Linked DNA regions of Yarrowia lipolytica. The protein of the gene in region 1 interacts with the protein of each later gene in a pairwise test. Links are inferred from orthologs where the notes say so. Each region holds a gene or a part of one and is shown in the gene's direction. Other genes may lie near its edges. The genes, in order: YALI1_F27041g, YALI1_D04969g and YALI1_B05242g.

Region 1 (3,844 bases):
GTCAATGCTCTCCTGGAGGGTCGAACTGATGACGCTCTTGCTTCCGTGGAGCAGACAAAGTCGTGGGGATTCGATACCAAGTCCGGTTCCTCTCCCGCCGACATTTATGCCAGTGCTAAGGCAATTGAAAACCTGTATACTCTTCTGACTGCATTTTTGAGCCAGCCCACTGCTGTGCCCGTCAAGATTCCTGTTGGTCGTATCATTCCTCTATTCAACAGAGTCACCTCTCTGGCCCAGGTCCACTTCAAGGCCCATGTTCCTCTGGTTGAGCAGAACCTGGTGCGATCCACATTCGAACGAATCAACATTGCCGCCATGCAGTCGCTTTCGGCTCTCATTAACACTGTTGGCGCTAACATTTCTGCCTACGTCGAGGACCTGCTTGAGACTGTCGACATGATCTCTGCTGACAACTCTGCGGTGACCTTGGCTGCCCTGGATCTGCTCACAACCATCTTCAATAACGTCGGATACATTTCTGCTGGCTCTTCTGTTCAAGAGTACGTTGAGAAGGCCGTTTCCCAGGCTCTGGTTCTCATCACTCCCGGCACCAATGTGTCTCAGGCCGGCCAGACTGAGATCCCCGATTACATCTCCAAGTCTCATCTGTTTGAGTCTCCCATCTCCCATATCACCCAACAGACTGTCTACACATTTCTTGAGGCCACCATGCTGGTATGTGACCTATCTGGACGATGTCGAGGACTCATTGACCGAACTCTCCTGCTTTCTAAGCATGCTGCTCGACGGTCTGCTGCCGTCACTTCAGCGCTCAATCCCTCTATGGCTTCCAAGCACAGTATTCTAGCCATGGTTCAGCAGCAGTACCCCCGAGATACTTCCATTTCCCGATTTGTGCATCCTAGACTTCCTCCTCTGACTACCGAACGACGATACTTGCCTGTTTCCTCGTCTCTTGGAGAGGAAGAGGAGCTTGACGAAGAAATGGAGATTGAGGAAGAGGAGCAAACCAACGGAATTGAGCCTGTTTCTGCGTCTTCTGCGCCAGTCACTACCAACACATTTGCTTCTACTGCTTTCAGAGAACCTGAGAACCCTGTAGTTGTGGATGCTCCATTTGAGCCCCTGCCTGAGACGATGGCAGAACCTGTTCAGGCTATTGAGAGACCCTCTAATATCGAACCCACCACCGAATTTGAGGAAATTGAAGAGGAGGAAGTTGCTGAGAACCAGGTCGACGATTCTGACGAGGAGATGGGCTCGGACTTTGAGATGCCCGCTTTGGACGTCGGAGACAGTGATGATGACGAGTAGGATTTAGACAGGATGCATGCAATAATTAGACGTTAACTATGGTATGGAGACGTATTACAGGACTAGTATAGTAGCTATCGTATCCACAGTACATGCGAGTAGATGGGATGGGCAGATAGATGTACATCTGAAAACTGTTGTAGGTGTACAACAATGGCCATTTCAAGCATAATAAGAATTGTGCAGATACATCAATACGGAGTGGATTTTATATTTAACTGATTTGGAATTTCCGTTTATCACCTTCCCATTCAGCAATATTCATTTTCCATTCCTCTGCTCCAACATGCATCACATGACCGAGCTTAAATAATTTTATCTGCATGCAGGCTGAAATTATTTCTGGCCCTCAGTTACGATACACATCGCACACAAAAAATGTCAGACATCTCGGACGTGGATGCTTTTGACCAGCAACAGGAAAAGCTCCTTTTGGAGCAGAGTATGCGTGGAGACAGACGTCGTCACTATGACCACATGGAGATGAGTGACGAGGAGGTTATGGGATTCAAGCCCAGCGACTCTGAGGATGAGGAAGACGACGATGATGAGATTCTCGACCGAGAGGAAGAAGACGACGGAGAGGCCCAGGAGGCCTGGGGCAAGGGAGAGCTTTACGGTGCCGATGAGATCGAGGACGAGGAGGATCGAAAGCTGGAAGCTGAGGAGGCTCTCAAGCTTCAGAAGAAGCAGGCCAAGCAGATGAAGGAGAGTGATTTCCTTGGAGAGTGGGCCGCCGACGACAGTGATGATGAGGACGAGGAGGATGCAGATCTTGCTACAGCCGGCAAGGGTGTTCGAGAGAGCATTCCTGTCAAGCCTATCGAGTCCATGTCTTCTAAGGAGCAGTATGATCAGCTTGTTCGACTCAACCCCGAGCTGGTTCTCATGAACGCTGAGCTTGCCAAAGTGACTGAGGAGATGGCTGCGCTGAACAAGGCTGAGGAGGATGAGGATGATGAGCCTGAAATCGTGGAGATCAAAAAGACGGCTCTTCGAACTTACATTGGAGTGCTGAACGCCTACTTTGCGCTGTTCATGGACTCCGTCAAGAACGGAAAAGCCAATATGAAAGATCACATCATCATGGAAGCCATTCTAAAAGCCCGGGAAATGTGGCGAATGGCCCAGGAGATTGGTCTGCCCGAGGAGGAGGTTGATGAGATGGCTTCTGATGAGGAGATGGTCTCTGAGGGTGCTGAGCTGATGGATGCTTCTGCCGCCGAGAGTGACGTCTCTGACGATCTCGATCTGTCTCGATTCCGACGACGACCTGAAGATGATTTCGAGGATGTGGAAGAAGTGGAGGAAGAAGTTGACTCTGACGACGAGCTTGCTCTGCCCACCTCTTTCAAGGCCAAGAAGTCCAAGTCCAAGATCTCTGCTGTGCCCGACTATGGTGAGCATGCTATTAATGACGTTGATCAGGCTGACAAGGACCGACGAAAGCGAGATCTACGGTTCTATACCGCCAAGATCGACAAGCAGGCTCGAGGACGAGAACAGGAGGAGATTGAGGGAGACGCTGACCTACCGTACCAGGACCGATGGTACGAGCGACAGCAGCAGCTCAAGGAAAAACAGGCCGCCCACATCAAGGACTCGGGAGAGCATGATCTCTACGACTCTGGAGACGAGGGAGGATCTGCTGATGACTACCAGGAAATGCCCTCCAAGAAGAGCGCTGGTGGAGATGATGACGAAGATGTGGATGAGTTTGTTGCTGCCCTCAAGGCCAAGAAGCAGCAGCGAAAGGCGGAGCGAGAAGCCATGCATGAGGTCTACCTCGACGCCAAGAAGGGCAAGATTGACGTGGAAAAGCTGGACGACAACGGAAAGCGAGCCATCAATTACCAGATTCTCAAAAACAAGGGTCTCACGCCACACCGAAAGAAGGAGAATCGAAACTCGCGAGTCAAGAAGCGAATCAAGTACGAGAAGGCCAAGAAGAAGCTTGCCAGTACCCGGGCCGTCTACAAGCAGCCTACTGGTGCCTACGCTGGTGAGAAGACCGGTATCAAGAAGAACCTGGCTCGATCTACCAAGTTCCGGGAGTAATATAGATGCATGTTGTAATAGAGGTTTTGGATTTGAACTGAGGTTGTAAAAGTTTTGGCTGGTCATGGCGTATACTAACTGTACCGGCGCTTGTACAATAGTCTGGTAATTCTGTCTCTGACCGTCTGAAACAGATTAGAAATCAAATGGGCGTCTCAGTAGTTATTCTGATATATGCTCATGATAGTTACGCTAGCGAGACTACAAGTACGAGTACTTCCCGGTACTGTACGGTACTGAGCTTCCTGAGAGTAAGATAAGTGTCTATAGTTTTTTGGAGTAGCTGTATACTGCAATAAATGAACATAAAGGCTCTTGATACAATTTGGATCTTTCAGCATGAGGTGAGCATGGACAGTTGGTTCCTACCAGCCCTCTCTCAAACGGCCAAACACCCTTTATTTGGACCGCATGACCGCTAAAGAGACACACTCGTATGGTATAGGCTGCCTGCACAACCGTGATTCTTCAAATGAACGCAAACGCATACTTTGTATTGGTACAAATG
Region 2 (4,520 bases), on another chromosome or scaffold:
ACACACGGAGCGTATGCATAGAGAATGAACACCCGACGGTACGACCGTCTGTATCTAAAGGTGAAGCCGCCGGCGTAGTGGATGCCGGGAATGATCCGCGTGGCAGCGTAGAAGACGCCAATGCGGAACGAGAGCGACACAAACACGTGGGGCGTAATGGTGCTGATAGCGCCGTAAAAGAAGTCGAACACGGCTGTGAACGATGACGGCACAATGGCGGCAAACGACTTGGCAAGCGCCGAGTACGAGTCCATGATGAGTGGAGGTAGCGGTGGGTACTGCTGCTTGGAGCTGTACTCGATTGTCACGGGTGGCTCGCTGGTGCTAGACTTGCGGAATATGAAGTACAGACAATAGACGGTGTATGCGAGGATGAGCGACGACTCCAGCGAAGAGCCCTTGCGCGAAATGACACCGTAGCTGCTGAGGCAGAAGCCCAGCGTCAGCACCATGCCGGCAAGAGTGCCGGTGCTTAGATCCACCGAGTCCGTGGCAATGTAGATGCGGTAGAGATTGTATGCGGTGGCGGAAATGACGCAGCCCGCGGAAATGAGCAGGACAATTTCCCACGAATCGCTCTTGCGGTGCACGAGCCACTTGGACACCTGGCCAATGGTCTGAATGAACAGCAACGTGCAGAAGCCCTCGAGAATGTTGAAGAAGGGCGCGGAGCTCTGCATGAGCGCATCCCAGGGCATGACCAGCCGCTGCAGCGCCACAGGCTCATTGTTGTTGGCGGTATTGAGACTCAGGTAGAAGATGAGCAGCGCCGGAATGAGAATGGTATGCAGATAGTAGAGAATCTGCGCGACATGTCTCAGCTTGGTACGGCCACTAAGTATGCGGAAGGTGGACAAAATGAAATACGATACCACCAGCGTGAAGGAGAAGGCCAGGCCGCAAAACCGCCCCCCAATGTCAAACGACAGTGGGATTGTGATCATCACCAGCGTCAGGTGGATCAGCGAGTATGCTGCTCGAAACAGCGTTAGTATTGTGATCATAGGGAAAAGAGAACAGAACGGGGTTCTGGAGTTTGTGTGATTGGCGTGTTTGTGTTTGTGTTCACCAATTGTCTTGTTTCGGGTTGAGCCGTGGAGCTGTCGTCTATCACCGTCTGTGTCTATCGTCTCACTGTGTCGCTTCTATCACTACAGCCGAGGTATCAGGTCGCGGGCGAGGCAATGTGATGGGTCGTTTTGTGTCAGATTGTAGGGAGTTGCCAGGTTTCCGATTGCTTTGGTTTCGCTTCAACCGGCTTTTGTTTTGCGCTCGGCTAATCTCTCGCTCGGGTGTCTGTCTAACACTACTTGTAGTCTGTGATTGAGCTGACGCGTATGGCAAGCCCTGGCACAATAATCCAAATTCCAAATTTGCACACCCAACCGTATTGAGATAAGCTTTATTTTTAGTCAGCTCGGGTGGTAGAGATACCACGGAAGTAGTGGTGTGCTGTTGTTGTCAGGACACGTTAAGTGGGACGATTGAGTCGAATTGTCTTCCAATAAGATCTCTTTTCAGCCTAACTACCTCGGAGACTGCCCTTTCTCCTCTTATATGGACGCTCGGGTCTCTTTATTTTAGTCAGGGCTCGGGCTGAGACACAGTTAATTTTATGTGCATCTCCATACAGCGGGGACAGGGTGCAGGTTCAGAATGTGCTGGTACTGTACTCACACGAGTACAAGGGGGCTTGTGATTGTTTGAGGAGCCGAAATTATTGTGGTGCCAGATGATCGGCTCATTTAACGGTGCGCTAGAAGCGGGGTAACATCGTTATTATTACCCTTAGTCTGGACCCAGATGAGATCTATGGGTACAGCAGAAGGGGGTGCGATACGGGTATACGTACGTACATACAAGTACAAGTAGTGTCTGGCTGATGCTGCTCCCTCTGAGGGACAGCCTCCGTCGTGTCTTTCGCCGAGTCTCCGTTCGAATCCTGGTTGCGTTCATTTACGCATGTTGATAAAAAAATATTTTAGGCTTCTGGAATATGCAGTGGGAAAAATATCTGAGGATCAGAATATCTTACTCATACACGCAAGAATGGCTCGATCTCACAAAGTGACCAAACCCAAGCGCCAGCAGGTCGACACATCGGGGTCGTACAACGCCCTGATGGTGCTGATGGGCGACAATGTCAAAAAGGCTGAAAAACGGGTTGAGGAAGAGGAGCCGGTGGAGCAGGAGCTGGAGGAGGACGATATTGAAGGTGCTGGAGAGGAAGAAGAGGAGGTCGACGAGGAGCAAGAGGAAGAAGAGGATGCTGATGACGCCGAGGAGGACGCTGAAGATGATTCCGAGACCGACAAATACGATCCATACAAACTGCATTTCGAGGCTGAGGAAGCCAAGTACGTTTCTGTCATCAAGTCTGAGGAGTGGAAAACCTCGTCGGAGAAGACCAAGATTGGTAGCCAGCCCGTTCGAATCACATACACAAATCTGGAGGATGCCGACGAGCTGTTGGACTTTTCCGAAGCCCAAAAAACCGAGTTTAGCAAGTACACAGTTCGGCCCCGGATCAAGGATGGCTTCAAGCAGCTCAACGGGTCTCTGACGTCGGTACAAAAGGCCATTTACCCTTCACTCATGGCCTACCGGGATCTGTGCTACGCCACCTCGAGTCTCAGTGATACCGAGGAGTTTTCGCGGCTAGTGGCCATGCATATTGCTCAGCATGTTGTTCGAACGGCTGAAGAGGTGGCATACAACACACGTATTTTGAAACGAAACGCCGAGGAGGGAATCCACGACGTTGAGTTCCGGGATCAGGGATACACAAAGCCACGAGTGCTGGTGCTAGTGCCCACAAAGAACGCCTGTTTCGAGTTCATGCAACTACTGGTTGGCGCTTCAGGAGTCGATAGAGAAGATAACAAGGCGCGGTTTAACAAGGCGTTCCACGAGGCTGGCGCTGTGCTCGACACCAAGCCCGAGGACTTCCAGAAGGCCTTCAAGGGCAACACTGACGACATGTTCTGTCTGGGCGTCAAGCTACGAAACAAGAGCATCCGGTACTACTCGTACTTTTACCAGGCTGACATAGTATTTGCGTCTCCTCTGGGTCTCAAAACGCTTGTGGGCAGTGAGGGTGACTCCAAGCGGGAGTTTGATTTCCTGTCGTCCATCGAGATCGCCTACTTGCATGAAACCAACCACATGGAGATGCAGAGCTGGGACAATGTGTTGACGGTGCTGGGCCAGACTAACTTGCTACCCAACGAATCTCATGGCTGTGATTTTAGCCGAGTCAAGAGCTTCTATCTTGACGGACTAGCCAAGCACTTCCGACAGACCATTGTCGCCTGCCAGTTTGTCACTCCAACCATCAACTCTGTCTTTTCCAACACAGTCAACTTTGCGGGCAAGACCAAGATCACTCCAATCTACAACGGAGAGCTAGCAGTGGCAGGCATGAAGATCCGCCAGATTTTCACCCGGTTCAAGGCTCTGTCTGTGTCCGATGAAATCGATGCCCGATTCAAGGCCTTTGTGCAAATCACGCTTGAGGGTATGATTCGCTCGGGAGACTACTCCGGAACTCTCATCTACGTGCCCACCTACGTCGAACTTGTGCGTCTCAGAAACTACATGGACGAGAAGAACATTTCTTTTGGTGCCATCAGTGAATATTCTTCCATCACCGAGGTCAAACGACACCGAACGCTCTTCCGAGACGGCCGAGAAAAGATTCTGCTGTACACGGGACGTCTCCATCACTACCGACGATACTTTGTCAAGGGAGTCAAGTCGGTAGTTATCTATAAACTCCCTGAGAACCCGGCCTTTTACAGAGAGCTACTGCTGTTTCTGACCCACTCGGTCGATGAGGGAACGCTCGAGCAGTCTATGGCAAAGTGCAGAGCCCTGTTTACCATTTACGACCTGTTGGCCTTGGAGAGAATTGTGGGAACGAAGAGAGTGAAGACAATGGCAAAGAGCGGAGAGAGCAGTTATGAGTTTTATTAAACACATAACTCCCAGACCGAAGCTGCTTATACACCTAATGACGGATTCTGATCTCACTCATTTCTTTCCCGGGTAGCTCACTCTCTACAATCTCTTTTAAGACCACATATATAGACACTAATAAAGATACAACTGGTCGAGATCATGCGTGTACCCACTGTAACTTGTGAGAGAGCTACTGTATTTATATGTCCTTCGTTTCACACACGGCTAAACATGAGACTTTTCGGTATAGCACTCATGGGTTGTAGACACGATCCGTTTGATATAAGAATGCAACTATCATGTTCTTCTCGTATGATCTACTTGTAGTTAAGGTACTCTCAACTCCTCGTATCCGTTCTTCTCAGAAAAAAGGTCCTGCCTGTCCATTTGCACACCACAAACAAAGCCTCTTCTCTAACAGATAACCACTGCTTTTTAAAAAGTCTCATTTCTATATATCCACCATTGCTTATTTCTCTATTTTGCCATCTGTCGATGGATGTTAGTTGTAAGTTGCTGACTACTCAATCAACTTGCTGACGGCCATGGCGATGCAGCAC
Region 3 (3,345 bases), on another chromosome or scaffold:
TACGTGCTTGTATCTGGATGGATCCGAGCAGTGGATGTCGATGACGGTTGCGTAGGAAATGTAGTCGCCCGTCTTCTCGGCCTCTCTGGCGGCGTCCTTGATGAATTGGCACACAATGTCCACATCCAGTTCGGTGTAGTCGTTCTCGTCTTCGGCGTCTTCGTCTTCGGCGTCTTCGGAATCGTCGGCGCCATGGTTGACATCTTCCTCATCCTCCCCAGCCACCGTGTGCTCCTCCTTGCCCTTCAATTCCTCGCCCAGCTTTTCCAGGTCTTTCTTATGGTCGTCGGTTAGTTGCATATGTGGTGATGTTTGGCCAGGTGTGGCCACGAATGCGCTCGTACTCGTACCCCGGTACATGCTCTCTCCACTATAGAGTTCGCGCCAAGCGACTGCTACAAGTAGGCAGTGCCAATGGAAACGTATAATGTGGTAAATGGACGTCGCAGGTCCAGAAAAGATGTGTTTTTCAGGGACAAATTGACCCGACGGACCAATCTTTAACAACTCTTGTTTCCCAAGCGTCTCTCTACCACCACTCTGCTCTGCTCTACATGCGTTTTTTAGAGTTTCTTGCAATGGATATATCTGGGGGGTCTATAAATGGGTGTTGGTACAATATACAAGTGGTAAATGGGTGTTGGTACTATATACAAGGGGACTATGGGAACAGGCCATAGAGCCGAAATACCAGCTGTTTATCGAAAATCAGAAAAATGGCTTGATTCGGACGAAAACAGTGCTGTTTGGGCACAGAACAGTCGTTTATATCCGGCACACTGTCAGACACTGGCACCCTAATATCACACCCTATATCCGGCGATAACAACGGCATAAATCATGGCTATGGAAGAGAAAAAAGCAACTAAAACCCTGACCAACGTCTAACAGTGCGTATTCAACGGGGAACAGGTTCGCTTTTATGGTCTGCCAAAACAGTTTCGAATTTCGCAAAAGCACATGAAACAAGATCCACGTCTGCTGGATGTATCGTTGTACATAGTTTAGGGCGGACTTGTTGTCTTTGAACTACAATGTAAGCGGTTAGCGAACTGTCGAAATAGGACATCGAATGCTGTGGAAACAGCTATTCAGAACAGGTGCAGTAGTATTACCCTAGCGTTTATTCTCAATGACTTGTAGTGTACTTCCTCTAGTTGTTGCTGTTTTGTGTTGGGTTTTTTTATTTTTATATATATTATTTTTATTTTATTTTCCCTCAATATTTGATTAAGTATAACATCAGTTAAGAGAATCTCTGTATCGAATGCAACAACACGGGTTATACTGTACATGAGGAACAAGAGAACTCAGACTTCCACAACTGGTGGTCCAGACAGTTCACATTTCAGTCCGATCTGACAGGGTTCAAACCTCGATGAACGGGGAAGACGAGGCATCCAACACCAGACTCGCCCGTCTATATCACCCATTGTTCAACTATTCCAAGTAAACTAATTGGGGTTTCTTTACCAGTCTCGAAAGAAGGGTTTCAAGCCAAGTTCTTACCATTTTTACCACTCTCTCAGATCCTACTTGTTCTCCAGCTTGAATACGACTCCTCTCAATGCTCTCACCTAACACCATTACAGACTCCCCCCAGCCAATGCTCACTCAGTCAGGCTCAGTCGCACCACTTAATTAAAGTTCAAAGTCCGTCATTAGACACTCCCCAGAAGAGTAGCACAAATTTGGTGAAAACGTAGCCGATTTTTGTATTTGTTGATATAGACACATTTCTGTCAGTATCCTTCGTATATTCGCTTTTTCCCTTTGACGTCACCTACCGCACGAGCCTGTATAGAGCCTGTCTAGCAGCCAGCTGATGTTCCATTATGGAACCTTAAAAAAATATCTGCATATCGCTTCAGCTGTGAAATATTCTTTCGATATCACCACAACACTATGAAGCGAGACTCAAACAGAAATCTGGTTCGAAAGCGAGCTGACGACAGTGATTCGGACGATTACAACACATTTGCCGGTCTGGAGAAGGACTCTGGGCCCGAAGAAATGAGCTCGTTATCGTTCGGAGCCATTCGCAACGCGCAAAAGAATCTCGATAAGGAGAACGAAGACGACAGCGACAGTGACAGCGACTCGGGACCCGAAGAAAACTCCGGAGGGTACGAGAGAAGCTCTTACAAGGGCAATAACAAGGGCAAGGGCAACAACAAGGAAGATGGAGGACCCAAGAAGAGACTCAAGCATGCTCCCAGTGAAGCTTCCAGTAAGAAGCGAGTGAGTGTGATCCGACCTATCCCTGGTCTGACCATGACGAAATCCGGAGCTGACTCTGCTTCACGTGACTCCAAGCTCTACAGAGATATCCGTTTTGATGCCACCTATGGAAAGGCTAATGAGGACCGTGTTCGAGAGGACTATGCATTTTTGGATGAGTACCGACGAGAGGAGATTGCGGAGCTGCAGGCCAAGCTGAAGAAAACGGAGGAATCGTACATTCGATCCCAGATCCAGACACAGATCCAGTCGCTGCAGTCGAAACTCAAGACTCTGGAGAAGCGAGACTTCCGAAAGAAGGTGCTGAACGAGCACAGACAGCAGCAGAGAGAGCAGGCCAAGGATGGAAAGAACCCTTACTATCTGAAGCGAAGCGACCAGCGAAAGCTGGTGCTGACGGAACAGTTCAAGACTATGAAGAAGAAGGATATCGATCGAGCCATCGAGCGACGACGAAAGAAGATCACTGGAAAGGAGAAGAAGGATATGTTCAGTGGGCGGGATTAAGCAACGGGGGAAAGGCGGTATAAGGTGCGAAACTGTTGCTACCTCATACTATTCATAGAAGCAGAGACCAAAAGTTGGTACTTTACTTGTACCGCACTTGTATAGCATAAGATATTTTATTTGTATATTAAAGAAAGAAAGAAAGATCAATGTATGGTGCAGTCCAATCCGTATACAATCCGCAACCATATGAGACTACTCTCCCTTGCCAATAAGTTGCTATCGTGATCGAATGGCGGCGTTAACCTGTCGATCCGGAAACAGGCGAAGTATCTTAGGGTCGTCGGTGAAAACTCTCTCAGAGACACGGATATGGTCACGTGACAAAACACCCCTTACTTGGTCACATGATCATCTTTTCACTTTTTCCACACAAAGGCCGGAAAAAGATGCGCGCTTTACCAGCAAACAGATGGGCCAAAGTTAGTGGGTGCCCAAACCCCGCCTTTTGGGCAACCTAAATGGAGTTGGAGGGGTGTACTCTGGAGGGAGTTGTGGATGAGCAGGGAAGAATTGGAGTGGATGATAGTGTTTCTGGAGGTTTTTGGATTGTTTTCCGCCTTTCATACTTGCAAATTGGACAATATCCAGCCGTCC

What was found.
Region 2: the proteins of YALI1_F27041g (region 1) and YALI1_D04969g interact in binary tests that used the Saccharomyces cerevisiae proteins (3 or more experiments, as listed by UniProt). The link is inferred for Yarrowia lipolytica from reciprocal best matches to the Saccharomyces cerevisiae genes SAS10 and UTP25.
Region 3: the proteins of YALI1_F27041g (region 1) and YALI1_B05242g interact in binary tests that used the Saccharomyces cerevisiae proteins (3 or more experiments, as listed by UniProt). The link is inferred for Yarrowia lipolytica from reciprocal best matches to the Saccharomyces cerevisiae genes SAS10 and RRP36.

The regions. Positions count from the first base shown.
Region 1 is NC_090775.1:2,702,482-2,706,325, forward strand, and holds YALI1_F27041g (uncharacterized protein), read left to right. Parts: upstream 1-1,656; coding exon 1,657-3,336; downstream 3,337-3,844. Other genes in the region: YALI1_F27017g (uncharacterized protein), read left to right, coding at 1-1,278. UniProt on the Saccharomyces cerevisiae protein: Primarily required at the G2/M phase. Essential for viability: involved in nucleolar processing of pre-18S ribosomal RNA as part of the ribosomal small subunit (SSU) processome.
Region 2 is NC_090773.1:494,381-498,900, reverse strand, and holds YALI1_D04969g (uncharacterized protein), read left to right. Parts: upstream 1-1,962; coding exon 1,963-3,975; downstream 3,976-4,520. Other genes in the region: YALI1_D04978g (uncharacterized protein), read right to left, coding at 1-1,004; YALI1_D04936g (uncharacterized protein), read right to left, coding at 4,481-4,520. UniProt on the Saccharomyces cerevisiae protein: DEAD-box RNA helicase-like protein required for pre-18S rRNA processing, specifically at sites A0, A1, and A2.
Region 3 is NC_090771.1:522,336-525,680, forward strand, and holds YALI1_B05242g (uncharacterized protein), read left to right. Parts: upstream 1-1,905; coding exon 1,906-2,748; downstream 2,749-3,345. Other genes in the region: YALI1_B05226g (uncharacterized protein), read right to left, coding at 1-360.